2 linked regions of the Alligator mississippiensis genome follow. The main gene of each other region encodes a partner of the protein of the gene in region 2 in a complex. Links are inferred from orthologs where the notes say so. Each region holds a gene or a part of one and is shown on either strand. Other genes may lie near its edges. The genes, in order: SF3B4 and DDX46.

Region 1 (15,586 bases), on a different chromosome or scaffold from region 2:
AGACAGGCAGCAGGGAGGTGCTGGAGGTGATGAAAGGGCCCTTGAAAGCAGAGGCAGATGAGGCCTGTGGTCTTGTTACTAATGGAGTCTTTTCTGCTTCTGATCAACAGAGAACAGGCTCCCTCTGCGAGAAGCCCCCGCCCTCACCCGCTATCACAAAAGGTGTGAAACTTCCCACCCCGCCACACTGCTTTTATACCTCCCCAATTAGCAGCTTGGCTTGTGCAGCCACACTGAATTCATTAGAAGATGCTAATGATCCCGCTCTGCCCATCCACACAGCCAGCCCCACCGCTAGCAGCTCAAGGAAGGCTTTCAAATCCATTCCCTCCTTCCTCCACAGCAGCCTGCAGGAGAGGGGCAGGGAGCACAGGGGCTAATTTCTGCAAGGGATGCATCCAGCGCTCAGGAGAGCAGGTTTTATCCCCAGTGAAGACATGTTATTTGCCTTGTCCACTGCTGTTTTAAAGCAAGGGCAGCCAAGCCGTGGCATAGCAGCCGTATGGACAGCCTTTGTGTAGGGCACATGGCAGATGGGGGAGCAGAAAGCAGAGCAGCAGATGGGACAGGGGAAGGGGATTGGAGTGGCACTTAAGGAGGGCATCAGGCCTGATTTGCAGAACACCTGCTAAAAACATTGGCTCAAACAAGTCCAAACCCTTTACTTACATGAGGCAGAGGCAGCCCCAGGAGGGGTCAGTGCTACCCCCTGCTCAGACCCTGAGAGGAGTTGGCTCAGAGCTGGTTCAAAGCCAACTGGATGGAGTCTCAGGGGAGCACCATGTAGCCAGGGCTCCTGCTGCTTGGGACTAGGACATGCTCCCTAAGACATACGAAGACCTTGCTGTGCTCCCAACGCCCAAGTCTCCCATCCTACTACTAGATGCAGCTCCACATACCAGACGCTGCTCCCCAAGCATGGATCTACTGCATACACGAACCCCACACAAGGGGCTGCCGAGTCCTGCATGATCCAGTGTCCCTGACATACAGGAGGTAGGAAGAGGGGATGAAGTAGGTTGTGCTACTGAGCCTGAAAGAAGACTGAGCCACCTTGGCGAGAGAAACCCAGTTGGTTTATTTGCAAAGGGCTGATCGCTTGCTTTACATAGAAAAACCCTCTCATTAAAATCCTAGAGAATGAGGGAGAGAAAGAATAAGGCCTGGTCCAAGGAAGAGGAGGGGGTTGGGGGGGTGTTATACGACACTGATGAGGCTCCCGGGCCTGGGAACGTTGGTCCGTGCACAAGCTGAGATCCAGGGACTGAAGAGGGATCTGTGGCAGGAAGGTTCTTCAGGCCTCCATGCAGTGCCTCCTAAGGCAGGGGTCCTCGCAGGGGGCCCCGTGGGGGCACCGGGGGTCTCTGAGCTGGTCGTGGAGGCATTGGGACCCGCTGGTAGCCATAAGGTGGTGGCCGTGGGGGGCCACTGTAGCCGTGGGGGGGCATCAGCGGAGGCGGCCCACGCATCCCATGGTGCGGCATGGGGCCGGGGTGACCTGCAGGGAGAGAGGATCCTGGCATTTAGCCTCAGCTCCGTGCAGAGGCTGCAGGGCAGACAGCCCTCAGAGGACTCCCCCAGGCTGACTTCACCCCTAGTCCGTTGGCCAGGAGTGCTGGAGGATACCAGTGAAGCTGGGCCAGCTTACTGCTGTGGCCACGGGGAGGCAGGCAGAGCCAAGAACGATGGACACTTGCTAATGAACCTCCCCGTCTCCATGGCAACAGGAAGGGGCATGGCCCAGTTCAGCCAATGGGACAGCTGGGCAGGGATCTACCTACTACAAATCTACATATTTAATTGCTTTTCAGTCTTGGGAACAACTTGTCAACAAATATGTCAAGGGCGAACACCAGGACCTAGGTGAATAACTTTTCAGAAAAGCCCCCCCCCTCCCCCCGGAAGACACAGACTAATGGACACAAGCTAGTCAAGGAAAAGTTTTGGCTGGACATAAGGAAAAACTTCTTTTCTGTATGGATAACTAGAATCTGGAACACTTCCAGCAGAGGTGGTCTTTAAGAGGAGGTTGGACAAATAACTCGTTGAGCTCGTTTGAGCCCAATTACCTCCTGCCCATGGCAGGGGACCTGACCTGACTTGATAATCTTATAGGTCCCTTCCAGTTCTTCTTTCTATGATTCTAACTCTGGGTAAGATCTCCCCACCCCCACTTGTGGATGGGGGGCAAAATGAAGCAACATGACCAAGGTCCCACAATAAGTCGGTGCCAGGGGCAGGAAGCAAACTCAGGAGTCCCATTTCTCCCCCTCCACCACACCTGTACTTACCCATGGGGGACCCGAAGTGTGGCCCACGGGGCGGCATGCCCATAGGCGGGGGCCCTGGGTGCGGCATGCCAGGGGGTGGGCGCGGTGGGGGCTGCCCGCCGGAGCCCGGGGGTCCCGGGTGGTGCTGGCCCATGCCAGGGGGTCCATGATGCACCTGCATTGGCGGCATCCCTGGGGAGGAGACAGACACAGTGAGACCGTCATGGGCTCTCAGACCCGCTCAAACGGAAGCTGTGATCAGGGCAGCTGCACAGCAGACCCGGCTAGGGGCACTGGACAGCCACAGCTCCTGCCCAACTCCCCCAGCCTGCTGGGGCAGGACTGGAAGCAGAAGGGACCCTCAGATCCACTAGCCCAGAGATCCCAGGAGGAAGAGACCAGCCAGCTCCCGCTTGGTCTCAAGCCCCATAACTGAGCTGGGCTGAGGCCTCCCGTGGTACGGAGATGCCTTTACATCCTTCAGATTTGCTCTGTCTCCATCAATACCTTGCGCCCCATTTCTCTGCTGGATCCGTCCAGCACAGCTTTCCCTGCTTACATGCAGCAGCTTCGAGAGATGTATCCTGGCTGATAGACTGGGGACACTGCTAACGAATTCCCCCATCTCCCTGGCAACAGGGAGGGGCACGGCCCAAACAAACCATCTAGGCAGCTCGGAGGGGAATCTACCAGGCAAAAAACTGCCTATTTACTCACTTTTCAACCTAGATCCCCCCCCCCAATCTTTTTAGCAGAAGCCTGGACACCCAGGCATACTGCTATTGGGGGGGAGGGGGGGGTGTGCCGATGACAATGACACACAACACCATTTGTCACATGTAATTGCCTACTTTGAAGGCCCCAAAGCTGGCGTGTAATTGGAGGTGACAGCTGCCATCTGGTCACCCATAGCCCATTCCCGGATCACACACAAAGCCTCTTAACCAGGCAGAAAGGGAGAGGGCTGGGAGTGTGTGGGGGCGGGGCTGAGAACCACGGTGAGGGGAAACTGAGGCATTTAAGCCATTTTAAAGTGGTTTTCAGATCAACTGGCCTTAACTGGCTACCTCTGGAGGGAGCTGAGAGCATAAAAAAGGGGTAGGAAGACAAGGGCAGTGTTCAGCCTTAGGCCTTCAGCTCCCCAGGACCACAGCTGCAGGTGCAAACACCATCTGTGTGCAAGGCACCCATTTGAACCAGAAACCAAGGTCAGGGGATCTGGCAAGAGATCCTGAACTAAGGGCCCAATCTCACCTGAGGGGGGCTGGGGGGGGGGTGGCCAGGCCCCAATCCCAGTGCAGGTGGCCAGATGGGGGCAGTGCCAGGCTCCCAGGGACCAATCCCTAACATTCACATTCAGTCCAAGCCACGAAGCATCCAGCTGATGGAAGCCAGCCATTTCCAAAAGAATGCAGGCAATTTTAAAAATCAAGGCTCAGCGATGAGACACACTGACCCAGACCACTCCACCCTGGCTTCCCTGCTCAGACATCCCCCCCCTCTAACTGAAGAGCAGGATTATTAACACCCTCGTTAATAAATCACTAAGCACTTACTCTTGCATGGGAATTTTGTCTAGAGCAGGGCTCAGTGAATCAGGCAGGAAGCCAGTGTCACTGTGCCCATTTTACAGAAAAGGGAAACTGAGTTACGTGGCATTAGCGCCCAGTCCAGTGCTCTGTCCACTAGCCCAGCCTGTTCCCAACACCTTACCTGGGTGATGCATCCCGCCCGGTGGGAAGGGATGTGGGTGCGGTGGGTGTCCTCCACTGGGTGCAGCTCCAGATGGTGGGCCAGGGGCACCAGCGCCTGGTGGCATGGGTGGAGGGGGCATGGCAGGAGGCATTCCTGGGGGCATGGCTCCAGGGGGTGGCACCGGTGGGGGGAACGAGCCGGGGGGTGGGATGCCTGAGGGAGCAAAGGATCAGTGAGAGCACTACCCCTGCACAAATCATCACCCCACAGGCCTGCATGCTGCGGCCCCGCCTTTCCCAGCCACGCAAGAGCCAATGGCATGGCTCAGGGGAGCAAGGCATCCCAGTGATGGGCCAATCAACTTGGGGATGGAAAGCTTTGCATTGATTGGTCCAGTACAAGAGATACTCATCTCAGAGCAGGTGACATGGCCAACCACCTGGGGGGCAGGCAGCGTTCCTTTCTAAGTGGGGTCAAGAACCAGGCTTGAAAACCCCCTGGCCCGAGCACAGCAAGGGGCTGGCGTTCTGAGCCCCCAGAGCTGTGTTCCGGGCCCCACATGTAGGCAAGACCCCGGCCAACAAATCAGTGCCAACCCAGAGCAATGGGCACGCTTGCCACATTCCTCCCTGTGGTCCAGCAAAGCCCTGGCATTGCTTCAATACCAACCCAGAGAGCAAAAACCCGTGACAGACTGCACCCAGCCACCAACTAAGCAACGCCCCCCCTGCCGGGGGGCACAGCACAGAGATTCCCTCACCTGGTGGTGTGACCCCGGGGCCCAGGGATGTGACAACCGGGGTGGGCACAGACGGCGGAGGAGGGGCGTCTGCAAACAGCTGATGGGGCCGGTCAGCCTGCGAGAGAGGGTTTTGGGCAGCGAGGAGGCGCTCAGCTGCTGATCCATGACGCTCGCCCTTGGAGTCCTTCTTGAAGGCGTAGGAGACGGTGATGGGGCGGTTGCAGAGGTACTGCCCGTTCATGGCCTCGATGGCAGCGTCTGAGGCGTCGAAGCTGGCGAAGTTGATGAAGGCATAGCCCTTGGAGTTACCCGTGTCGGGGTCCCGCATGATCTTGGGTGTCTGCAGGATGACGCCGAAGGCGCTGAAGGTGTCGTACAGCAGCTTCTCGTCGATCTCTGGGTCCAGGTTGCCGATGAAGATGTTGGCGCCCACGTCCAGGTTCTTGTTGTGTGCCGAGGCCTTGTTCACCCGGATGGGCTTCCCGTACAGCTTGATCATGTTCATGATCTTGATGGCATAGTCGGCATCCTCCTCACTGAGGAACTCCACAAAGCCGTAGCCTACAACACACCGCAATTCACTGGGATGGGATGCAGCCCCTGGGACCCACTCGAACCCCTCTCCCCCTTGCTCTCCGCTTCCTCACGACCCCTGGCCCCATCAGAGCAAAACCCTGCTTCCTCTGCGTTTCTCTCTCCTGTTGGCTCATCTGGAAGTGCCCCCTTCACACCTACCCTGATCCCAACTGCTGATGGGAAACCTTCTCTGCTCCACCTGCCAGTCAGATCCACCTCAGTGCATGTATATATGACCATATAACCCAGGGATCTTTTTCTTCCCAAGTTCTCTCACCCCCTGCTCCGATACGTTGTATCAGTTTAACTCAGTAGGGGGAAACCTTTGTGGCAGACTAATTTGAGTGCAACAGGAGGGGCACACCCGCTGCTGCACTAAAGCACTACGAGAACTGAAACATGCACAATACATATGTAGTCTCAAAGCTTTCTGGGCCACCCTTCCTGTCAGTCCTCAGAGCCGTCCTTCTGCCTGGCAGCTCAGGGCCCTGTTCTCTGAGCACGGGTGCGCTACCACCGTAGGTCTCACTTCTAATGCACCATTTACTCCCTGCTCCAGCAACATGGAAGATGACTAGGAAGACAAGGTCCTTGAAAGCCTTTCCCTACCAGCGGGGGCTGACCCACACAAGAACTGCCAGTTACTGGGTGAGGCCACAGGCCCACTTTGCCCCGTCTCCTGTCACGTGGCAGCAGAGAGCAGACGCTGAAAGGAAGAGCGAGCTGGGTCCGATCAGGGTTTTCCCCCCTGTTCCCCTCTCCCTTGCCGCGTCCAGCATATAAAACCCAGGTTTTACCACGATGGAGATTTCTCACCTTGGTGCTGGCCCGTGACCCGGTCTTTGGGCATGTGCGTGTTGACCACGGGGCCAGCCTGGAGGAAGAGCTCCCACAGCAGCGGCTCGCTGACCTTCTCGTCCAGGCCGCCGACGTAGACGGTGGCATCTTGACAGGGAGAGACGAAAGAAAGGGGCGTCAGTCACGGGCTCGAACAGGGGCAGAGACCGGGGCCGAGTCCTGGGGGCTCAGAGCACGACAGCGAGGGCAAAACCTTCCTCGCTCTGTGACGCAAACCCCAGACCCTCGCTGCGGAGAAATTTGGGGCCAGCAAGGCCACGTTCAAGAAGGGGGCGGCTTATAGGGCCGCCCTGGCGCTGCATTAACTGGGCTGGATGGACCCAGTCGGACACTGCCCGTGTCCCCGAGGGCCCAGAAGGGGGTCAGTGCACGGCGACCCCCCCGGCAGCACGGACGAGCACGTCGCAGGGTCCTCACGCAAACCCCCCAGTCCGCCCCGCGCCGGGGGGAAACCCCTGCCTGCCCCTTTGGGGCCAGAGGCCTTGGCCCGGCCCGGCCCGCAGCAGCGCCCGCGCGCTGGGGGCTTAAAACCCCGACACGTGGACCTGGCCCGGGGCGCCCCCAGCAAGGCAGCCGCCGCCGCCCAGGGAGGGACGAGACGGGCCCGGCCCGGCCGGGGGGTCGCACCCTGGTTCCGCTCCGAGATGGGCCCGGCCGCCATCTCCTCCGCGCTGAGCCGCCGCCGCCGCCGCCAGGCGACCTCCGACCCTTCACCTCGTCCCCTCCCGACACCACTTCCGGTTCCCGTCTAAGCCGGAAGTGCGCTCCCCAGCGGCCATGTTGGCCAAAGGCGGCCATGTTGGAATCGGGCGAGAGCTGCAGCCGCGCGCGGGGCGGCCATGTTGGAGCCGGGCGGAAGCGGCTTGCGAAGGTGTCTGAGCTGCTGCTGATGTTAACGCCTTGTGGGACACGCTGGTAATAACAACAACAGGGCCTAGGCTTGCTGCCAATAACTAGCACAGCACCCATTTTGCAGGTGAACAAATTGAGGCCTAGAAAAAGGACGAGACTTGCCCAGGGGCAGAGCAGCCGGTTTCAAACCTGGCGCAATTCCCAGGTATAGCCCTGGCTTGCAGGGGGAGTCCTTGCAGGGCCGCTCTGTGCCTCAGTTTCCCCGCCTATAAGAGGAAATGCCGATAGCGGCTGCTGAGTGAAGTACTTTGATATCTACCCAGCATGTTCATTAGGGTTATCAGTCGTTAGTCCTACTTGTAATGATTAACTGGCTGATAATACCCTTGAATCGGAGGCTCGTGGGATTTGGCACCACACGGGACGTCGAGATGATTTCGCCCGCCCTCACGAACGGCACCTGGAGACTGCAGCCTCTCGCGCGACCTTTTGGGGTGAACTGGGACATGTCCTTCAAACACGCCACCGCACCCCGTAGCTTTAAAAATACTGCGTTTATTGGGCTCTTAAATAGAAACGTCACTACAAAAATATACAGACTAGGAAAAAACAGAATGCCCTTCGGTGGGATCGCGACGTACCTCCTGCCTCGCGTCGCGGGGGACGCGGGATCCGAACGCCGCGGCCACCCAAAGACTTCTTAAGAAGTAACCAAAGGAGTTGCTTCAAGGGAGAGCCCAGGCCCCCGGCCGGCATCTTTTTAAGGAGCGATGGAGACACTCAGCTCTTCCCCCCAGGCCTCTCATGGGGCTGGAAGGAGTTTTTAAGATGAAGTGCGCACGGCTCCCCATCGTTTTCAGGCAACCGGCACAGTGTTTTCCAAAGCGGCATTGGACTTTCAGCTGTGACTGCCTCTGCCCATCCTGCAACTCCACTGCTTTCAAGCCCTGCGAGAAGGGGAGGCGTTCGATCCTTGCACCGATCCTTTTCTAACCCATGAAATTAAAGGGATCCTTTCTATTAAGTGAAATAGATGGCGAGAAGCACGTGCATGTGCACACACCGTGAATAAGCTCATCCATGTGTAGTCTCTGGTTCTGCCTAAAGTGCTTCAAGCCCAATGGAAACCCATCTCCTGCCGGTTACTAATTATAGCTAGAGCTATTTTTAAAAAAATAAAATAATACAAATAGCTTTAAACAAAATGTGTTACTGATAACTGTGCCAGGGCCTTGAGAAAAAAAATCCTGCAATAGAAACACCTAATCAGCAGTGAGGTTGTTCCCCCTTCCCCTCCCTTCCTCTGCTGCAGATTTTATAGGGTTAGAAAGAGATCCCAAAGCAGGGAGGAACATACTGGCCCTGAGCTACCATCAGCAATGTCTGCATATACTGAAGTGGGGGAGCTGCAGGGAGTTTGGAAGGACCTGAAAGACTCCAGCAAGTTTCCCCATGTGGGGCCATCCCCTGAATCCTAGTAGCAAGGGCCTGAATCCACCCCGCTGGGAAGATTCCCCTTGCTGGGCTGTGAAGCTCCCAGACAGGATGGGCTTTTGGAGAAGGCCCAATTCACCAGAGGGGTCAGGAAGATTCCCAGCCGTAAGGCACCACCACCCCATCAAGCTTGTCAGCGCAGAGAACAGGTGGTAACACAGGGTCGAGTCTGATCCTGGCCATGGGGGACAGAGAGGATGTCCCAGATCCACACCAGCCCATGCAACAGCCTGATGTGCAGCTGATGCAATGGGACCTAGAGCTCAAGGAAGAGAGTCTGCAAGAGATGGTCTCACAATCCCAGATCCGGCTGCTGTCCCTCTGCAAGAAAGCAGCAGCCGCAACCTGGACTTGGGGGAGTGCATGTACACGCCACATTTTTTGCCTTTCCATGTGGTGCAACTGTGTGTCTGTTTGCACGAGCAGGGTTTCCGGACGCTTTTTTGCGCATTACAGTAAAACTCCTCAGGGACTTCAAAAGTGCTTCTGGAGGTAGCAGGATTACAGCAAATACCACGCCCCCTCTCCCCAACCTACTCCCTTGTACACAGCAGCTTACAATGCATCCGAGCCTCTAGGGCAGGGGAGACAGGGGTCTTCCAGTCCTCCCACCCCAAAGATTCCTCACTACTGCCTGCTTTGAGGGGTCCAACTGGGAAAACCCAGCAGAAGCAGCCTGGCTAGGTGGGTGGAAGGTGCTGCAGACCCACCCACGATCCGCAGGGAAGGGACAGCTAACTAGCAGCAGGGCAGGGCTCCTCCACAGTCCCCAGAGCCAGGATGACCGTGGATCTGGGACCAAGGGGAGAGCTCCATCTCTAGGGCTCGTTCTGGAGATGCGGGTCCCCTCTGCCATGTTGCTGGGAGATGCCCAGTCACCAGGACAACTGGGCAACATATCTGCGACCCCTCAGTAGATGCCAAGGGCTGGGCAAAGTTCCAGGCCTGGGACCGAAAATCCAGCAGTATCCGGGTGCCCGTCTCCAAGATGAGCTGCACACAACAGCCTGTGGGCACTGGCTTCTTTGCCAACATGCAGGTGGACAGGTCTGAACGCCGGGGAAGTCGGTCATGTGAGTCCAGCCGCTGCCTAACATCCTCTCCCAGCAGTGGTCACCATCAGCGGGACGGGGAAAGGGGGCTTCCTGCCTCCTCCGACTCCGCAGGGCTGGGGGGAGACGTGGCCCTCCAGTGCCCATCGTTCAGACACTCTTGAAGCAACTCCAGCTCCTCGGTGAGGTCGGTGAGCATTGCAGGGAAGAGGCCGCGCTGAGCAGGGGGGAAAAGAAGCAGAGGCATGGGGTCAGGGCAGGCAGCTGGGGTACTGGCTAGCTTAGTGCCATCAGCTAGTGCATGGAGAGGCTGGAACAGCCGGAGCCCAGACCCACCTCGCTGGGCACCTGACAAGGACCAGCTCGATTTATCCCTCATTGGGCTACACCCAGGGGCTGATGAAAAGCATTGCTGTAGCACACTCGGTGCTGTACATAGCCCCCGTCCTGAAGATGCTGCAGGGGAACGTGGGGAGTCCCACTGGATACTAAGGCTTCCAGCTTCCTTCTCCACCATTCCCCTCTCCACCCTAGATCCAGCCCCTTGGCCCACACCACCCTGTTGCAATGAGGGCAAATGGTTTGAATGGTAGATTCAATGGTTTGAATCAACACAGGAGGGGCAAAGGGACTTGACTGAGGTTACAGGAGGTGGCAGTGGCAGAGCACCGCCCCCACCGAGCTGCCCCGAGCCCAGCCTGGCCCTCACCTGCCGCTCGGGGCTCCCACGGAGGTAGCATCGTCTCCAGAGCTGGATCGCCGACCCCGTGCAGGCAGGCACCAGGACCGCTCCAGGCAAGGCAGGGCAGCTGCTGGGCCAGCCCCACTGGTCGTTGAGGCTGTCCGAGGATGGCACCCGCCACGGGCCCTTCTTGACGAGTGAGCCGTTCTTCCAGGGGAAGAGGTGGGGTTGCGGGGCCAAGCCCCCCCGGGCCAGGAGGAACACAGCCCCAGTCTCAGACAGGGTGGCTTTCAGCTGGAGAGAGGCAGGACGTGGGCTGGGGCTTTGGGAAGGGGGACAGGACATAGCAGGGAGCAAAGACACAGCAGGGCTAGAGGGGACTCGAGGCTAGACTCCTGGGTTCCTTCCCCATCCCAACCAGGAGGAAGACCAAGTTGTCCAGCTCCTCGTCCCTTGTGCTGTGACCATTAGCCTGCCTGCCTGCCCACACAGCCCCCACCCAGAGCTGCCTGTAGTGCCCGGACCCACCCCACACAGAGGCAACCGCACTCACCTTGCTGCAGCCCGGCGGGGCCATGTGCCCATCACTGGCCCTAGTGTAGATGGGGTTCTGGAACTGCGCCCGCTGCTGGGCACTGTAGTGCAGCGCCCAGGCCCAGACAGGGGGAAGGCAAGCACCCCCTCCCACTGGGGCCTGCGGCAGGATCTCCAGGTTGGCGGCGTCCCGCCAGCCATTGACGGGTGTGTACAGCTGGCTGGAGGCCCGGTGCTGGGGGTGCAGACAGAGGGGGTGAGGAGGGGAGGAGCGCACACACAGCAGCTGCTCCCCACTGCCAACACTTTAAAGGAAACATCATGTTACCTAGCTCTCCCAGCAGCAGGGGGCAAAACCCCTGTGGGACAAACGGGGAAACTGAGGCACGAAGCAGTCAGGGGTAGAAGAACCCAGGAGCCCCAGTCCCCTGCTCCAACCCTACTTTTCTCCCAGGAAGCCCCAGTGTCCTCACTCCCATCCCTGGCTTGAACAAGCGGAACCCAGTCCCCGCCTGCAGCTGAGCAGAGAACGCAGAAGTCCCCATCCCCTGACCTGGGGGCCCCACTCACCTCCCACGGCCGAGGACAGAACCAAGGAGTCCTGACTCCAACCCCTAGACCGGACCCCTCCCAAGGCAGAGCAGAGCCAGCTCCCAGGCCCATCCTGAACCCCAGGACCCACCTGGCCCCCACGGCTCCGCTCCCACTGACAGCTGAAGAGGAAGGTGCTGAAGAAAGGCACGTAGCTGCTGTCGTGCAGGGCCAGGAGATAGGCCTCGGTGAAGGCAAAGGCAGCTGGGAACTGCCGCAGCAGCTGCCAGGCGCAGTCCAGGAAGAGCTGAAACACTGGAGCCTGCAGAGAGGGGTTAAGCCCCAATGAGCTGACAGCGAAATACGACCGCTTCTGGGGTGGAACGCGGCAACATACGGACAGCCCCAGTGGAGGGAGGGCGGGGTGGGGGATCAGCTGCCATGGCAATGCGGCTGCCTCTGGGGTAGAACACAGCAGCTGGGGACCAGGACAAGTCATGTGGGGCTGGGATGGGGTCCAAGCCCCAAATCCCAGGGGTCTTCTGGGTCCCTGCCTCACCCAGCCAGCTCCACCCCCAGCTCCAAGCCAGGGCACCTGGAAGCCAGTGGGAACAGGCTCCATGATGCCCCCCGCTGGTTGCCCCTGGGCTCACCTCGCCTCGGTCGCCATCCCGGCAGAGGTTGAGGCGCTGGGCAAAGGGATGTCCGGCTGCCACCCACTCCCGCTGCACCAGGTTCTGGAAGCCCAGCTGGGTGCGAGCGTGGGGGTCGGCCAGCAGCTGCACCAGCGAGGCCACCAGGCAGTTGAGGTCTCGGTCGTCCGACTCTGTGGGGGCAGCACGGGGTGAGCGGGGGACTGGCAGCGTGGCCTGGGGACCCCGGCGAGCGGTGGGGGAGTCTCTACCTTGTAGCACAACAGAGCAGCGCCTCTCTGCCAGCAGCACAGCCACATCGCTAGCCTTCCTCACGCAGGCCCTGCAAGGGGATGGGGTGGCTAGCAGAGCTGGGGGCACCGGAGGGGAGGGGAAGGGAGGGGAGGGGAGGGAAAACTGGGGTCATGGCTGCATGCGAGCCTGGCCTGGGTGCTAGGAGAGGATGTCTTGGGAGCAGGGAGGGACAGCTCTCACCTGACGTGGTCCAACCAGTGGGTCCCCTCCAGCGCAGACAGCCACTTCTCATCAGCCACGGCGGGGTCTGGAAGGCAGCCAGGCAGGGGGACAGAGATGGAATCCTCCAGCAGCCACCCCAGCCATGAGTGGGAATGACCCTCCCCACTCCACAGGTGGTAGCAGCAGAGTAAGAGAACATGACCAAGTCCCCCAAGGGGGTCTGTGGTGGGGAAGAAGCGAAGCGACACCCCGTCTCCCGAGTCCCATCCACCCTTTGCTGCCCCAGAGATGAATGAGACCTGCTCGAGCAGGGAAACTGAGGCAGGGAGCCAGCTCCCAGCTCAGCCAACATCCGTGGAAGAAGAGCCCGACTCTCTTAGCTCCCAGGAGAGACACAGGGCAGGGGAAGCTCCTCACCGGGCGAGCAGAGGGTGCGGAGCCGCACATGGGCCAACTGGATCTCGGTGGAGCTGGGCAAGTCGGCCACTGTGTCCACGACCACGCATCGCGCATGCCCAGCCAGCAGCAGTGCCTCCACTGCCCTGCAGAGACACATGGGGCATAAGACGGGTGCTGCTGGCCCCCCTAAGCCAGGCTAGGGCCTCAGCACAGCAACCCACCCCCCATCACAGCGCCACATCCCCATGCCTGTGGCTTCTACCTTGTGTCCTCCTTCTCAGGGTCCGAGGCAGCATGGAAGCTCGCAGCACGCAGCAGGTCACTGCCCCCAGGGTGCCGCCAGCAGAGCCTCTGCAGGGCAGGGCAGACACAGGGGGGCAAAATCCATGTCAGGCTGCTTCCCCCACCCCTGCACCCCCATCCCCTTCCTCCAGCTTGAAGCCAGAGCTCTTCCCTCCCCCCTGCTGGTTCAGGCTGGGGAGGGTCACCCTGGATGATGGGAGGGGGTCACTCACTGGGATGCGTCGCTGGTTGAAGTGGGCAAAGGCTCGTTTGAGTTCGTTGTCCAGCAGCTGGCCAGGCACCCAGAGGTACCGGGGGAGGCTATGGGCATGACGTGGGGAAGACAGCTCAGACCCTCCCCACAAGCCCCCTGCAACCCTCTATCCCAGGATTCGGCCTTCGGGATCCTCCTTCCCTCCCAAGAGTTTGATCCCAGCCTGGTCCCACCCCAACCTGGCTTTCTGGGCACTTTAAGCCCATCACAGCACAAAACCCCCGAGCATCCAGGGCGGAAGCACAAGCAAAAGCAAAAGCTTTCCATTGCCCCCACAAGTCTCAGTCCCCGGGTCTAGGAACAGGGGCTGTGGAGAACAGGAAACCCAAGCATCTGGTCTCTCCAGTACCCTGGATCCCTTGGGGATTTGGGGAGGTCTCCTGCATTTTCTAGTGGAGACGGGGCAAGGGGGGTGAGAAAGATCCTGCCCGCCCCACACCCCCGCTCACCTGGTGGCCATGTCGAAGCGCTCATTGGCCACACTGACCCGCCAGCCTGCGGGCCCCAGGCGCCGCAGCTCCTGCTCCCAGTCCTGGAGGCTCTTGAAGAGCAGCGTGGGCGCCGGATCTTCCTCCCCCTCCTCCTCGGGGCTCCGCTGGGCGTTCTCTGCAAGCCGGAGCCCAGTCAGCACAGTGCCCATGGGGCCCCTGCCCTCCCGGCCAGGCACAGGATCACTTACCCAGGTTCCTCAGCTGGGTGGAGTCGGACCAGGCTGCCACATCCCTGTCACTCTCCTGGGCCCGAGCGATGGCCATTGTCACCTGGGAGGCGGCAGCCATGAGCGGGGCTGGGGCAGGGCTACCAGGAGCACCTTCCCCCCCTGGGGAGCACCCCATGTCCCCCGGCTCCCAGTTTGAGCACTGCTGAGGGGAGTTGGGGGTCCTGGCACAGCCCAAATCCCCCAGTCCTTTGTGATTCGGGAACTGGGATGATTTCATAGACATTCAGGCTAGAAGGGACCCCGAAGGATCATCGAGTCCAGCCCCCTACCCCAGGGGCAGGAAGTCAGCAGGGATCCCAGGATCCCAGCAAGATAAACATCCAAATGTGTCCTGAAAGCATTCAAAGTGGGCGCTTGAACCACCTCCGGCAGCAGGCTATTCCAAATCTTGGGGGCTCGGACAGTAAAGATGTTCTTCCTTACGTCCAGCCTGAAACGGTCATGGAGGACTTTGTGACCATTCAATCTTGTCATCGGGGTGCTCTCGTGAACAGACGTTCCCCCAGATCCTGGTGAGCACCCCTGATAAACTTGTAGGTGGCCACCAGATCACCCCTGAGCCTGCGCTTTTCCAGCCTGAAGAGTCCCATAGCTCTCAGCCTGTCATCATAAGGTCTGTTCTCCTGACTTCTGATCATGCACGTGGCTCTGGACTCTCTCAAGCTTCTCCACATCCTTCTTGAATTGTGGAGCCCAAAACCGGATGCAGTACTCCAGCTGCGGCCACCCAAGGCTGAGTACAAGGGGAGAATGACGCCCTGGGATTTGCTTGAGAAGCATCTATGGATGCAAGCCAGCGTTTTGCTTGCTTTACTAGCCGCAGCATCGCATTGCAGGCTCATGTTCATCTTGTGGTCAATCAAGACCCCCAAGTCCCTTTCGTCCATAGTTTCATAGTTGGTAGGGTCAGAAGGGACCTGAGCAGATCATCAAGTCTGACCCCCTGCCATGGCAGGAAAAAGTACTGGGGTCAAATGACCCCAGCAAGGTGTTCATCTAGCTTCCTCTTAAACAGCCCCAGAGTAGGAGCCAGCACCGCTTCTCTTGGAAGTTGATTCCAAGTCCTAGCCGCCCTGACAGTGAAGTAGCGCTTCCTGATGTCTAGTCTAAATCTACCCTCTGCCAGCTTGTGACCGTTATTCCATGTCACTCCTGGTAGTGCTCGGGGGAACAGGGACTCCCCCAATGCCTGCTGGTCCCCTCTGACTAGTTTGTAACAGGCCACTAGATCCCCCTCAACCTTCTCTTGTGGAGGCTGAACAGGTTCAGGTCCCTTAGCCTCTCCTCCTAGGGTCTGTCCTGCTGATCCCTGACCAGCGTAGCACTGCCAAGTAGGGCTGGGCGAGGCTTCGGGCAGAGCTTCGGATCTGGAGAAGCTTCAGACGCTTTGGAGCGGGAGGCAGCACGTCAGGTCAAGTCGCTGCCACATTCGGCTTCCCGGAGCGCTTCCGAGCCGCCTCCGAGATCCAGCCATAGGGTATAATGGGGGATCAATGAAATATCTATAACTTTGTT
Region 2 (15,432 bases):
TAAATCCAGAAATCAACATTTAGAGCAATGTACATTCCTCCCCTGGTGATATGCAAGTGGGAAGATTCTCCTGGGCCTGAAAATGACACATGGCAGAGGGTGAAATTTGCTGTGCTAAGACAGGAGGTCATCAGTACCTGGTCCATTTAGCTGCAAGTTTAGTGTGGTTAGAAAAGTAGCAATTGTCAGTTCACAAACAAGTGCTGAAACCACAGCATTTGAAGCTTTTTTTTTTTAAACTGGGAGAGAAGGGGAAAAAGAAAAAAAAAAATATATCCACATATGTCACTGAACTGCTCATTATGTCACATAACTAACTTGTATAGCTGCCCAATAATTGGTGGGTTAACTCTGTCCTCTCTTCCATTCCCAAAACCAGAGCTTGCTGGTCTCATTTATTGTTTCCTAAGCTGTTTGTGGCCACGAACAAAACTATTTCACTACAACACATTCGACAAAAGTAGCTGAGAAATTTTAAAATCAAATGAAACAATACAAAGCTAGGTTTACTGTTAGGGGTAAAAGCTGTATTTGTTTAATTATTATGTAAAATCAAAATTTTAAAATACCATCATCATCTTCTAAGCTCCATTTTTTCCCCTGTTTCATTTCTTCAATTTCTTTTTTCAGTTCTCCGATGTTTTCCATAGCCTTCTTGCGCTGCTCTTCCCTCCATTTCTCTACTCTCTCTTTTCTTTTTCTCATTTCCTCCTCCAGTTTATTCTGATCAAAGTTCTGTGAGAAAAAAACAACCAACTCAAAGATTATTGCTCTGATCCTGTACTCCTTCATACAACTCGCCATTAGATCAGTGGCAGTTTTACTGGAAATACGGGATGCAAGTCTGGCCTCCATAAAACCTATATCGACAGAAGTTAAACTTATTATAGAAGGAAAGAAAATACTGATGTTAACTGTAACACTTGAATATAAAACATCACATCTAGTGCCAGATGGTCCTACAGATAGATCTTTCCAAACCAATACTCCTGAACCAGTTGCTCAGTCTTTTAGGAAAAGTATACTACAGCAACAGTTCCCAATCTTTTTCCTTTTTTGGTCTGTGAGCCAGTAAAAGGCCAAAAGAGTTCTCTTACCATCCACTATTTCCCATAATCCTTTGAATTAAAAAAAGCAGCTCTGACTGGTTTATGGATAAAGGAGTCTGAGGTCAGAGTGCTGGTGGAGGAAGCACATGTTGTGGAATAGGTTGGGTGGGGATTCTGGTTTTAGGGCTCTGGTGCTGACATGTACAAAGATAGAGGGTTGCCCTTGAGACACTGTTTCTTTCCCCTGGAAAGGAGCAGTGTCCATAACTGGAGAGGTGCTCTAGGCTTGGGAAAATAACAGCAGTGGATTGAGCTCCTTCCTCTTCTTCCCTGGTCTCTTTCTGGGTTACTTTTCAGCTCCTCAGTCAATCACAAGAAAGTGACATAATGAGCTCACATCCAGCTGGTAAGTTTGCATCCAGTATGCTGAGGTGGTCAGCCTTAAGGGGAAAATGTTTATGTCAAATAGTAGGAGTCCATCCTACTACCAAAGGTACAGTAATTAACCCCTTCACACTCACAAGAACATTGCCCAGACCTAAAAAGGGATTATCTGAAGTTGTTTTTCTTTCCAATTACAATAAATCCTATCTAAATGTATTCTAATGCTACAGCATTTATGAACGCTCCTGTTTAACTCATACAAGTTTCTCTCTCAGTGGCAGATTTATACATACATTAACCTCTTTATCCTTTTCTTCTTCTTTGTCCTCTTTCTCTTTTTTCTTTTCCTTGGAAACTTCTACACCTTCTGTCTTTTCTTTAGATCTTGATCTGAAAGGGGGAAAATCAAAGATGTATGACAGACTTTCACAAAGTGTTCCAGCTTTTCTTTGGAGGTTTCACATGCTGGACAGAATCACTGCCATTAACACTATGCATAGGCTTATGCTTTTTAAATGCTTTTGAGAGTATGTATCACTTCACAGCAAATCTCTCCATTTCATGGAAATAATTCCCACAACTGCCAGATACGTAGAATCTATTAGGACCCATTGATTCATACACTCTGGTTCTGTTCTTCTCATTTATTTCTGGGAGGAAGTCGCAGACTTCATTTCCAAACACTTACAGTTGATACTCTAGTGGCTCCACAGTTTATTTTACACCTCTTTGAATACAGCAGTTAGAATACAGATACTCAGAAATTCTTGCCTGTTACACTTCTAATGGCAAAGTGATCTAGCACTTTGCCCTAGAAATGCAAGTTCCCCCTGAGGATAGGCTACTGCCTGAAAGACATAAAAACACCTCCCCTCCAGGAAAGGCTACCTATAAACTGAATGCAACAGGCAGACATGCATTTGATATTAAATCCATTTATCACAAATTTTACTGTGCCTACCTCCTCCCAATAAAAAGTAGATGACTCCAATCTAAACATCTAAACTCAGAATAATAAATGTAAAATTCCTTTTACTCAATTAAATCTTATTAAGGTTTTTCATAGCCCACTGGGCTATTTTAATGCAAACCATATGCTTATTTTACAAGACATTTTTATGTCATTCCAACTTCTCCAAGTACAATTCTTGTGATCTCATGATTAAAATACTGGATTGTCATCAACCTGCTTATTCTATATAAACATCAGCGTGACAGTTTACATACTTTTAAATTATTTTACAACTTGACTCTTTGCAATTATACTGTAAATTCCAGTAAGAAGTTATTTAAAATGGCAAATGACCTGAAGTTAAGTTTTACTTTATTTCTAACCCAGTGTAAAAAGAGATCAAACTTCACCACTTCACTATGACTATTTAGTAGTCAGTTCATTTGAATGTAAACTCCCAATGGTAGGGCCCTTGTCTAATTAATGTTCTATATCAGTGGGGGCCAACCTTTATGGCAGGCATGCCACAAATTAGCCCCACACCCTCCCCAAATGTCTCTCTGATCCCATTCCTCTACCCAATATGCTGCTATGTTTTCTGCTTCCTGCCTTATCTGCCACTGTGTTGCCTGTCCCCTCCCTGGTCCAGTGTGCCACAGATAGAGGCTGCCCATGCCATCTGTGGCACCCCTGTTCTACTTGGTGCTGAGCACACAGGCAATGTTCAACAAACAGTTAAGAAACATGTACAAGTTTGATCCTAGCCTATATCATGGATTTCTCCAGTGTGTTATACCACAGACTTATCTACTGGCATGGATACCACAGAAAAACAGCTCTCAAACACTACTGGTTCACGTACCACCGTCTCAAAAAATTGCTGAAATGTCAAGCTCAGGAGTCACTACTGGCACACATAACAACAGTGTGAGAAACCCTGCCTCTTCTTTCATTACTATTCTGAATCCATTGCTATTAATGCCTCTCATCCCGTTATTAAAAGAAAAATATATACATCTCCAAAATAAATAATCAACCTGCAAGAGAACAGTGGGAAGAAGGAGTCAAACAATTCATAAGTGGGAAACCAGTACTTGGGGTGCATTACGAGACGGATCAAATGCCAATCATCCAAGAATTTATGATTACAAATTATTTTTCACAAAACCTTTTGAATTTTAATATTGATCATGAGAAACAGAGTTCAACTGACTTTTCAGAGGGGACAAACTAAGTTGACAATAGAGCCAGGAATACAGCCCACATCCCAGATGAAGTCAGCAACTGGCAGGGAGCAAATATGTCCTCATTAGAAGCTTGCTGCCCCTTATAAAGATATGCCCTGTCTACAAAATACAATAATGACAAGTATTAAATAATATTACCTTTTTTGCCAAATGTGTTAAATCTTTCCAGATGGCCTATTTTATTCTCCAACAAATGTGGAGGGTTTCCACTGGATTCTCTCTCTCTCTGATTACTGAGGACCAATGTCCACAGAAGAGAAATGAGTCCATTTCAGTTTCTGCAACTGAAAAATTAACCTAATGCATGAACTAGCCCTCTGCATGGGCTTTCTGAGTACATTTCTGGATCAATGACAGTTAATTATCTGGGAAGATCCTCTAACAGCTGCCAATAGCTTAAGAAGCTGATGAGGTCATGGCTTTGTAAAACAAATATAACTATGCAACATACAAAGGGGCTGTCAGTCACTTGGGTGAAAGACTCAGTGTACTTTTGCAAACTTACACATAAGGAAAGGAGATCTCTCCTGGGAAAAGACCTCTGCATGCCATTGTTAACAGTAAAAAAAAGTTTCCTGACTAAAAGAATAATTACAGGAAGAGGCAAACTCATTTAATATTAGCTAAATCCTCTATCTGGCAGCTATAGCCAGGACCTACAGAAACATAGACTACGGTAAGGTTTCACTGTGCCTTGTTACTGGGACAGCAGTTATAGCAGTGAATGCCAATACCTGTTTTCTGTTTTCTTGTTCTTGCCAGGACTGGGGGATCGGGACCGTCTACCTCTACTTCTGCTTCTGGATCGTCTCCTATCCCGACTCCGTGTTCTTCTCCTCTCTCTGCTCCGTTCTCGCTCTCTGCTTCTGGACCGTCTGCCGCAGGAGAAAAAAGTGTTTTATTTAGCATTCCATACACATGGCTGTCATTTTTTTTTTAAATATAAAAACAAACTTGTGTTGGGGAAAACATGACATAAGTTGGCCTGTTAAGAAGTGGGGGGAAGGAAAAATCATTTTCGTCAGTGCCCTGCCAAAGGAAGCTAAGAACCATGAAGGCCAGAAACAGAGTTACAAAATCCAGCTACAGTATACTTTTCCACTGGGTGATAAACTTAACCTGTGTGACACGTACTAGCCAACGCTTTACCTAATTTCACACCTGCCAGAGGCACCCATGACAAGTAACCACAGCAAGTGGAACATCACAGGTAGAACATCCCACACAGAAGGGCAGATACTTTGATTCACTTTCTTAAGACGTACTGCAACGTGTACCTTGGGCGCTTCCTCTCCCGTGACCTTGATCTCCTCTTGTCCCTGCTGCGTGACCTCTCACGCCGACGTTCTCGATCTCTGCTTCTAGAACGTCTGTCTTCTCCGCGTTTTGCTCTTTTGTCGGATGGAGAACGACTCCTGGAGCGGCTGCCAGAACGTCCCCGTGAAGCAGAGCGCTTCCGATAGTGCCTATGTTGTGGTAAGTGCACAAAATCAAGTCAAGATTCACAGGAGAACAAGTTAGAGGCATCTGCTGCATTTAGAACCGGGTCCTCTCTAGGGAAAGAACCAATTTTTAAAAAGGCTTTACTGCCCCTGCAAAACTGAACTAATGAACACATGTACTCCTCTGAAGTGATGGAAATGACTGGATTCCCTTGAAAGAGTTCTTACGAGATGGCATTGACAGAGCACAGCTCCTAATTGCAGCAGAGTTCCAAGAAGCATTTACTGGTGGTCCATCCATTTTGGTATATAAAAGATTAAAATTGCACATAATCATGCCTCTTGTGTCAGAGTTGACTGTGTAGTTTTGTAAAGACGTTAGACAATGGATTTGTATAGGATAGTTTGGATAGGGATGATCCTGCCTCAGGCAGGGGATTGGCCTAGATGACCTCTGGAGGTCCCTTCCAGCCCCACTTCCCTATGATCTGTAAGGTTTGGGCAGTCCTGCTCAGCTTATATAAATACCTCTATCCAAATACATTAAGTCTTAGTTCCACAGAGCTGCTATCAAACTCTATGAAAACTATCATATGCTAGCAAGAGCATCTGTGGTTTGATGGGCAGAGCATAGGGCTGGAGTCAGACTTGGACTGTATTTTTCTCAGTTACTGACAGGCTGTGACCTAGAGCGAGTCAATTCACCCGTCTCCGCCTGCAAGGTTTTGCCCGCTTAGATTCTAAACGCTCCAAAATACGGACCGTCTCTCCATAAAACACAGCCCAGATCTGGGTTGGGACCCCTGTAATAAAACAGCAATCACTCAGACCAGAGCCTGCTTCAAGGTGTAAACCTTAACAGAGAAGCACGAGCATAGCAGAGCAGTCCGTGGCAAATATCTCTTATCCGAGGACTTGAAAATGCTTGCACTTTTATAATCTTACACAAGAGCAGAGGTAGGAATCACTGCACCCACTGCAGAAATGCAGATACCCACGGGGGTGTCTGTACTGTTTCAACTGTGGGTAGCAGAGACGCAGCTAACCTAACTTGTGTACCTGCAGCGGTCTCACCATGCAAGCGGTGAATACTCACCCCATTCAGCGGTGAGTATTCGACCAATACCACTCCCTTAGCTAGCTACTTAAAGTTATCTCAGGCACTGGAGCACCAACTGAAGCGAAGACATAGCTAACCTGCAAACAGCGCTGTACAGTCAGTCCTCAACTTACAACGTTTCGAGTCACAACGTTTCGCACTTACAACCTTTATAAATTGACACCCTATTTCAACTTTCTGACCCCAGTTTCAACTTACAACGCTTGATTCGACGCGACGCCAAGCCAGCAAACAAGTTCGCGGTGTCACCTATCTCCCTGGAGAACATCTGTCCAAACTTCCTTGGACACTTTCTTTAAGAAAGCAAAACCCTGCACCAAGACCCCGGAGGAGACTCCAGCCAAGAGCCCTTCAGACAGTCCAGCAAAGTCACCTCAAAGAAGTCCTTCCAAATCAATATGATTGCTATTTACATTGATGTAGCTATATTACTCATCTATAATTGACAGAATACAAAATTTTGGGTTATTTTTGATGAAAATAAGGTATCCTTGGTTCAGGAACCAATCCTCCATTTATAACATTGTTTCCTATCGGAAAAAAATCAGTTCCGAGTCACAACATTTCGACTTAAGACACGGTTTTCAGGAACCAGTCGTGTCCGAGGATCGCCTGTAACACTAGGCAGGAGTTCAAAGCAAACAGTAAAGCACTGAAATCAAATGGATTTAGACAGCATGTAGCTGCTTACATTTTTGCCAGGAAAGAAGGATTAGCGCTCCGGTCGCCAGGGGTATACAAAATGAATTCCCCTCCAAGGTGTGCGACCTTGGAAAGCCCGGCTTCCCCACCCGCGCGCCTGCCTCGCACCCACACGCAGGCTTGTCGCGGCTCACGGCTGCAAAGCGGTATTTCAAGAGGCCGGATGGAGCGAGAGCAGCGAGGTGCGCCAGCCTTGCAGGGCAGCACCCACACGAAGATCCATGGCTGCTCAGGAAGTGTCGTTTAAAAGAGGGGAAAGAAGCGGCGGACCCGCAGCCAGCCCGAGGAGGAGGAGGAGGACCCGGCCCCGCTCAGGGATGTCACCTCCTGGCTCAGTGGCAGGGACGGCGGCGGCGGGGCCCTCACGAGGTCACACCTCGGCTCCGCGCGGGACCGTGCCCAACCGCCGTGTCCTTAAAACATTTCCGAGAATGACCCCCCCCCCGCCCCGGGCAGGTCGTTTCCCCTCAGATCCGGGCCCGGCCCCTGTGGGCCGACAGCGGCCTGCCCCGGCCGGAGAAGTGGGTCTCGCAGCGGCGCGGGGGCTGAGCCCGGAGAGGGGGGGGAGCGGGCGGCAAGGCCCCGGCGGGAGGAGCCGCCTCACCTGGACTCGCGGCCCATGGCGGCGGCGGCGGCGTTGGCCCGGGATCGGGTGCGCGGGCTCTAGGCGGCCGCCATTCCGCGCGGCGGGCAGAGGGGCGGCGCGCGGGGCCCGGACAGGCCTGCGCCGCGCGCGCCCCCTGGCGGCCGGAGGCCGGCAGCGCAGGGACAGCGGGCTTCTCCCCCCCACCTGCAGCCAGCTGTGCGTGCGGGCCCGGCCCCGCCCCGCCCCGCCCCCCCGGGACACGCGACCCGCCCCCGCTTCGCAGCGGGCTGCTGGCGGGGCCGGGGTCTGCGGGCGGACGGTCCCCCAGGAGCCCCCTCAAAACAGACGTGAAACAAAGGAGCGAGCGCATCCCTCCCCCACCCCCACCCCCGAGCAAATCAAACCTTGACTGAGAGTAACAAATGCCGTTTTAATAAATTTAATAGAAAACAACCGCTGTAGAAATAAACGTCCGATACATTTATGTGCGCGAGCAAAGGGGGAGGGGCGGCGGGGGTGCAAATCGAAGGTGGGACGAAGGAGATCCGTTTCTGGATCGCGCGTGAAGTCCGAGGGCTTCGTTCAAGTCTTGAGAGCCGAGGACACAGGCAACCCCTGGTGCTACCTGCTCCTGTCCCGACAACGTATCCTTTCCGCTCAAAAGCTCCACCTTATATTTCAGGGGTGGCGGCTGGAGTCGCGTCGGTCTCCGGACATCGGCAGACAAGGTCCCTTGGGTGAATACATCTTTTATATTCACCCAAAGACCCTTGTCGGCCTATTGTATTTCAGGCCGCTTGGGAAAGGATCTGCTCAGCCATTTCACAGTTAAAGGAATGCAAAAAGAGCAGGGCAGAACGCCAAAATAAACACAAGTATAAATCAAAATGCTTTTTTAAGCTTAGTAAAGAAGGGGGGGCCCTTTAAAAGGTGATGTAATATTAATAACCAGTGCTTTTTCTGCACCCTCCCTAGTGCTACCTGCAACACTTGCTAATTCGGATAAATAATCCTGAAAGTTGTGTCTCATTTCTGAGAATAATCTTCACATTTCAACCGTAGCTAAAATCTCAGCTGTCAGCATCTGCTGAAATTGTGTCCCAACCATTCCTGCCAGTGGACCTAAATCAGGTTGTCATTCCCCCCCCCAATCTATCCTTAAACATCTACACTGAGATGTTGACGCAAAAAGTAACCGCAGTACAAAGCAATCTTCCATAATTTAGAACACAAGTTTCTTGCTTCAGACATAGAGCAGAGGTCTGATCGTGGGTTCAGGAGCGCAACAACGTCATATTGCAGAATATTTTAAAAGGGGAAAACAATTAAGCAGAAAAGCAGAGTCTTGTTTACTTCAGAAACACAAAACCAGATTAAACAGGAGGCAAAACCATTAGCAACATAACCAGGCATCCCCTCCCAATTGAAAATCTGGTGTCAGTCTACTTCACCTGGATGCTTCAAATAAATAATACACAGAAGACAACAGGTTAAGGGTAACACCAGGTTCAGATGCAGTAGCAGCAAATATCCAAATATGGGTAATGGGAAAGGTTGGCTGATGGAGATCCCTCCTCAAAGTCTGTTCCAGTTTACACCATCCCACTAAGGCCAAATTTCTGCTGGACTGGGGACAGTGCTACCCTCTCTCCCCTAGAGAGCAGAAGGCATCTGCTGTGGGAGCCCCCCCATCCCTCACTGCTTCTACATCTGCTCCAGAAAAGGTGTCAGTTTCCACCCCCTCCTTCCACAGGACACATTGATCTTCTTATGGAAATCAACTCAAAATAACATGGTGATAAGAAGTCTTGTTCCCTTGCCTGTTTCAGTACTTAGGATTTGAATAAGCATGCCTATTGTGGCTTATTTGGAGGGACTTCAAACCAAAATGTAGAAGAGAGGAATTAGCAAGTCAGTTAACATATAAATAGCTCTGCTGAATGCTAACCAAGGGTTCTATTTAGGCTATTGAGCAGCAGCACTATTAAGCAGCAGGAGCAGAACTCCTAAGCAATTAAGGCCCTGTTTACATGCAAATGTCTTTTTCTATAAACAGAGGGAAAGAAACAGAATATAGATGTCAGTTAAAATTGTTTTAAACACCCTTGCAAAGATCCAGGAAGAAAAAAATCCCCTTGTTAACTAAAAGTTGAATAAAACTGCTATATTTGATGCCTATTGAAGTAACTGCTTGAGAGAATGGGGTGCCTGAGTGCAGCTTTCACTGTAGAAAATGAACTGTCTAAAGAAGAAGAGCGCAAGTAGGGTGTACATGAAAGCCGGGGTAAAATTAGGGCTAGAATTAAAGAGCTTATGGAAACATTTGAGACCAGCAGCACACGTGCCTTCTTGCTTCACAATTAATGGCATTTGTACGCCAACAGGATTTATTTCACTCTAGAATCCTCTCTTGAAGTCCGTCACCGGCACAACAAATAATTTATGGCACCAAGAGAGGATGAGGGCTCCAAGCCACAGGACAATGAAGAGGCATGTGTCGCCCAACCCTACTGCAAAAGCCACAGGCTTTTTTATTCAGCATTCAGAGTCTGAACACTGGAACGTAAGGATTCATTTTATATTAGTCATGGATTTCTTTTAAACATGGAAGCAACACCAGAAGAGCAGTCCTTACGTGTATCCAGTCACAAAGTGTACACATATGGGCTTCGTGAAAGCACATTTGTGCTCTCACACTGCAGAGCCAAAAGGGAGCAGCAATTCAAGTGATGTCAGGGGTGGAGGAAGAAGGATGTCTTCTAGTTAAACAAGTAAAGGAAATCAATCACTGACACTTGCACTCTATTCTTCACATTTGCCATGTGCAGAAACAATAGCTGAATACACTGTACTAAGACCACTCCCACCCTGAAACCCTGTTTATCCATTCACAAATGAGCGACTTTAAGATGCCTGTCAAGCATTCCAACAGACAAGAATTAAATTAAAGGTCTAAACCAGTTTGCATATCCACAGATGTTACAGGAATACAGAATGCAAAAAATGTGTGTAACTGCTACTTTGAGGTCTACAAGCCCTCACGGTGCATCAGAACCAAAAAACACCAGCAGTTCATGGCAGAAAATAAAAGTAAAGAAGTAGACACAAAGATCTGTGAAGACATCTCCCATTTTGCTATAGGTGTCCATGGAGCGACTAATCACTTCTGCTGGGATCCCCGACAATAAAAGAGCAGCAGTTAATACCGTAGTTTTCACTTTCTTCTCGCACTGAAAAAAAAAGAACAAAACAAAAGAGTAGTGATTACTGAGTGTATGAAGAGTCATAACTTCTAAATACATTTTAAATCCAATGAGTTTCTCTGGGGGCTCCCTCCTACTATGAGTGACAAGTCAACATTTGAAGTTAACATCATCGTGTGAATCGCTGACAAATGTGTGTGAATTCATGTTCTGATGGTCTCTTAATCAGCTGTCTACAAAAGGTTCACCAGTGCAGTTAGGCCAGGATAGACATGTTGCAAACCATCTCACATCCACACTGGTTTCTTCTGTAAAGAACTGTATTTTTGCCAGTATAGCTTTAAAATATATAGATAACTTCTGGACATATATGCATGCACACACTTTTGTGGAAGGCCAGGTAGGGATGCTTTGTGTAGGCTGTTTTTGTGCCATAGAATGGGCTATTCATTTTGTTATGGACCATGGTTTTAGTTATGTCAAGGGACCTATACCTTTGAATTGATATCCCATTGCATTTAAAACACATTTTTATGACTGCAGTGTTCACCTATGTGACATTTCAAAGTGATCTGAATTAGAACAGTTTAGTACCACAACTACGCATTATATGAAAAGGTAAATCATTTATGAATGTTAAGACAGTCATAATCATCAATGAATTTTAACAAAATAATGAAATGGATACTAGTAACAGAATAACCTGAGTAAACAAACAAAGTCAGGGCACTCCACATTAAAAATTAGAGAATTTTTAACGGAAGAAAAGGAATTCAGCCATCTCCTCTCAAGACTCCCTACGGAAGCTTTACTTTCGACTAGCCCAGACACAGGCAGGCCAGCCTGAGGTTTAAAGTCCCATTGGAACATAGAGTATACAGGTAACTACCATTTGCTTTCAATTCAGAGACTCACCTCTGAAATATAAAGGTTGAATAACTGATTTTGAGAAACACAGAAACTAAGAGAAAAGCTCTAGCTAGCAGACAACCTAGTGCAGGTGATCTGAGGCCAGTACCCTGGTACGCTGTCTGGTAACTTGTGCAGACCACTAAAGAATAATTACTTGAAAGTTCACTGTTTTTACTTACATATTTACTACTCTCACTCATTCCTACTTGCTACACTGACTCGGCTATTCCTTTTAACATGTAAATATTCTCTTTCAACTATGGCTGTGAAGTACTTAATTCTGCCTGACTTTACAAAGCAGACTGACAAAACCATCAAGCAAGCAGTTGCTTCTTTACAATTAACTTGTGATACGATCCCATTAATATAAAGCAGGAGATATAATCCCGCCATGTTGAGAAGCAGAAAGTAACAGGCATAAATAAAAATCGCCACATTTCAAACTTCTCTAAAACTGAGTTCAGGGCAGCAAAGGTCAAGGACCCATTTCACTGAGAGGGAAACATTCTGTTTGGTCAAACATGACATGAACAGTGCCTATGGATGGAGCCTAAAAACAGCAACTGCACAGAAGTACAGTGTAAATGGAAGGCAAAATCCTACCAAATCAAAGAAAAATCTAGCCAGCTTTCCCAAGTAAATGCTTCCTACTGGGCTATAGCTAAATATTAAGTAAGCACAAAAATCAGACACAAAACTAATTTTCATCCAAGACTTTTAAGAACATTTGGATTCAGGTCCTCCAAGATTAAAAGCTAGGGTATTAAGTGCCTTTCACTTCAAACAAAAGGGAGCCAAAGTCTCATACTGCGAGTGATACCTATTGAACCTGACTCTGTTTGTAGTACACTCAAGTGTTGGGTAATATTGTAAAGTACATTCTGTGGAAGACCTAGGCCTTCCTAACCATAATACATTCCCACAAAAGTCGGAAGCTGAAAGCACCCAAAATTACTTTTGTTAGGGCACTGGGCTTACCTTTGGAAAATACTTGGACAATCCCATGTAGGCAAGTTGTAGAGTAAGAAATGGAGCAAATATTGACTGAGAAGAAAATATAAGATAATGAATTAGACAAATAGATAGTTAAGGAATCACAGTAATTTGCACTTCCAAGGGAACTGACATTTATTTGTAATAAAATATTTCAGCTGCTGCACTGAAAAGCTATGGAAAATGACAGCCATGTTTATAAATACCGCTGATCTAAATAGATGATGGCTAAATTAGAAGATTAATCTCTTCCCTATCAGGCCTGATCCTGAACTGAGATAGGTGCGGGGGTTCACAACACCTCAGACTATGATTACTGCTAGAGATATAGCAATACTTTGTAAAGCCAATTACGATTCAAGAGTTGGCATTTTGTACTAGATGAGATGTAAACAGATGTTTGGAGCACTCTGGTGCTAATTACTGTTCTCAGTCTCCAGGGGCTAAGATTTGAGTTTGTACTCTCTCAGCTGCTACACAGCATCCGCACTAAGTACATAGTGTTGATTCTGAGAAGACTACCAGCCTCAAGGAAAGCCAGCAATTCATCTGGACTGATATACCACATTCTATGTATCTAGTCATCCTCGGAGCTAAGTATATGACATGTCTAGACTGGCAGCAACTAGGCTGGGTTTTGTCTGGTCACACTGAAGCATCGTTTTTTGTAACTCACCAAATACTTGCACACGAAGGCTCGGACTCCAAAGGCAAGAAGGGCGCATCCCACGAGTCTAAAAATCCGAAAAGAATCAAACTCCTCCCCTGCATTCCCATTCTCTTGACTTGGCTTCTCACTCATCAACTGGTTCCTTAGCTTCATTGCTTCATCAAATCTCGAGATGTACTGATCTAACCCATGTCGTGGTGCTCGCTGTGCAGGTTCGGGTGGCAACTCCCCTCTGCTGCGATGCCGGAGCTCAGTGGGACCCTCACTGCCAAGCTCAGGAGTTTTGCTGAACAAGTCCTTTTTGTCTCCCTTGAGCTCTGCAATGCCACTTGCATGATCAGCTGTTCCTGCCAGACTACAGACAGCATCACCCAGCACAATTCGCTTTGAAACTGAGGGGACAGGGAGGGAGTTGGACTTCTCTAGTTCAAGCTGAAGTTTTGATTCGGAGAGAGTGTCATCATCTAAAGAGGATAAACACCACAATGAATACGTTACATGCTGCTCAAACCAACCTCTAACCCCTGTTGTATTTTGGGCATCCACGATAATACATTGAATACGAGTGTGAAACCACAGCTTAACAATTAATAAATATATTAAATTAAAGAATAATGAATGCCTATTCAGTAGATATGTGAGCATTGGCAGTCCCATTTTATAGTGAGAGAAACTGAAACCAAGGATAAGCAAGGCAAGAGGAGAATTCTGTACTAGAAGCAGGGGTAGAATTCAGGAATTCCTGGCGTCTGCTGATAAATTATACCGTAACTCCAGATGAAGAACACCAAAGAGCCAACCATAAAACAGGCAACCTCATCAGGAAAAATCTGTTACCTCAACAGTGTCTTCTGATACTTTTCAATTGCAATAGGAACCCAAATGGCTCCAATCCACTGTACAACTGCTACAATATGTAAGTCAATACAGCACTTTCAAACACATCAAATAAGTCGTATGCTTTTAATTGTTGAGTAGTATTAGCCAAAAGTGGGGCAGATGCTTTCTTCAATTGTTTGTATGTTATCTCAAGTGTTGAAGTAGTTGCAGTCAATCAGCTATGAAAAATTAAGTGAGAGCTCTGGGTTTGAGGGGAGAGTAAAGAATAAGTCTGGTTAGATAGGAGCGGTTTATTCCAAGCACAGACAACTGCATAAGGAGAGAATTCAGAGTAAGTCAATTGGATGAAAGGAAGAAGGAAAAGACAGCCCACAGGCAGCAGAGAAGTACATCTTGGCTTGTTTCTCTCTCCAGTCAATGGCAAAACTGAAGTCTTATACCTGCAGAGAATGACCTTGTATTTGACAGAAAAAGGGAAGCCATCAGAAAAGAACACAGACACGCTAGGCGTGGATACTAAAATCAGGGGGGAAAATGCAGTTTAGAACAGTACATTTCAAAACAGACTGACTCATGCTTTATAGATACCCTTGTAAATTAAAATCTGAAAGCTCTTACAAGACTGCTTCTCATCACAGAATTTTCTGGAAATACAAATGATCTCTGATCAACTGCAAGTTTGCCGAGGAATTCTGTATGACAGCCGTAGCCAGCAAATGACTTTAAGCAACGTGTCATATCAAAGAAAAATATTGCTTTTGGTATTTCAAAAGATTGCTTCAGTTAAAATTTAAGGATGAAATAAAACAACATAACAGAAGTTGAAAAGAAAGACTGTGCAATTCATACAACTCTGCAACAGTCATTAACATAAGAAGCTTCCTGGGGAGAAACAGTAGCAGGTCTAGTTGAGAGAGCAAGGAACTGGGAGACGGGACTGCAGGCAAAATTTGCAGAAGCGCCAAGTACCATCTGCTCTGTTTTCCGAGTAAATACCTCCCCACACCAAAAGATCAAGTTTTACTTTCTAAAGGCAAATCCTTATGGATGAGGAACCATATCACTACCGTATCACTATCACCGTATCACTCCCCCTGCGATCACTAGCCACATCACTACCATACCACTATCACTGTATCACTCCCCCTGTGATCACTAACGGCATCACTACCGTATCACTATTACCACCCATGATCACTAGCATATCACTACCTGTGATCACTAACCCTATCACTACCATATCAGTATCACCGTATCACTCCCCCTGTGATCACTAACCGCATCACTACCACCATGTCACTACCCCTGTGATCACTAACCATATCACTACTG

What was found.
Region 1: DDX46 (region 2) and SF3B4 share a complex: the UniProt entries of both Homo sapiens proteins name them as parts of the 17S U2 SnRNP complex. The link is inferred for Alligator mississippiensis from reciprocal best matches to the Homo sapiens genes DDX46 and SF3B4.

Annotation. Positions count from the first base shown.
Region 1 is NC_081838.1:18,096,909-18,112,494, forward strand, and holds SF3B4 (splicing factor 3B subunit 4), read right to left. Parts: upstream 6,880-15,586; 5' UTR 6,803-6,879; coding exon 6,769-6,802; intron 6,229-6,768; coding exon 6,100-6,228; intron 5,269-6,099; coding exon 4,726-5,268; intron 4,179-4,725; coding exon 3,984-4,178; intron 2,463-3,983; coding exon 2,292-2,462; intron 1,499-2,291; coding exon 1,317-1,498; 3' UTR 1,055-1,316; downstream 1-1,054. Other genes in the region: MTMR11 (myotubularin-related protein 11), read right to left, coding at 9,607-9,756, 10,249-10,515, 10,775-10,990, 11,438-11,608, 11,940-12,112, 12,191-12,261, 12,414-12,480, 12,813-12,937 and 4 more. UniProt on the Homo sapiens protein: Component of the 17S U2 SnRNP complex of the spliceosome, a large ribonucleoprotein complex that removes introns from transcribed pre-mRNAs.
Region 2 is NC_081832.1:70,512,160-70,527,591, reverse strand, and holds the start of DDX46 (probable ATP-dependent RNA helicase DDX46), read right to left. Parts: upstream 7,612-15,432; 5' UTR 7,518-7,611; coding exon 7,501-7,517; intron 5,099-7,500; coding exon 4,910-5,098; intron 4,508-4,909; coding exon 4,367-4,507; intron 1,824-4,366; coding exon 1,727-1,823; intron 736-1,726; coding exon 570-735; intron 1-569. Other genes in the region: guided entry of tail-anchored proteins factor CAMLG, read right to left, coding at 10,521-10,712, 12,576-12,641, 13,267-13,724. UniProt on the Homo sapiens protein: Component of the 17S U2 SnRNP complex of the spliceosome, a large ribonucleoprotein complex that removes introns from transcribed pre-mRNAs.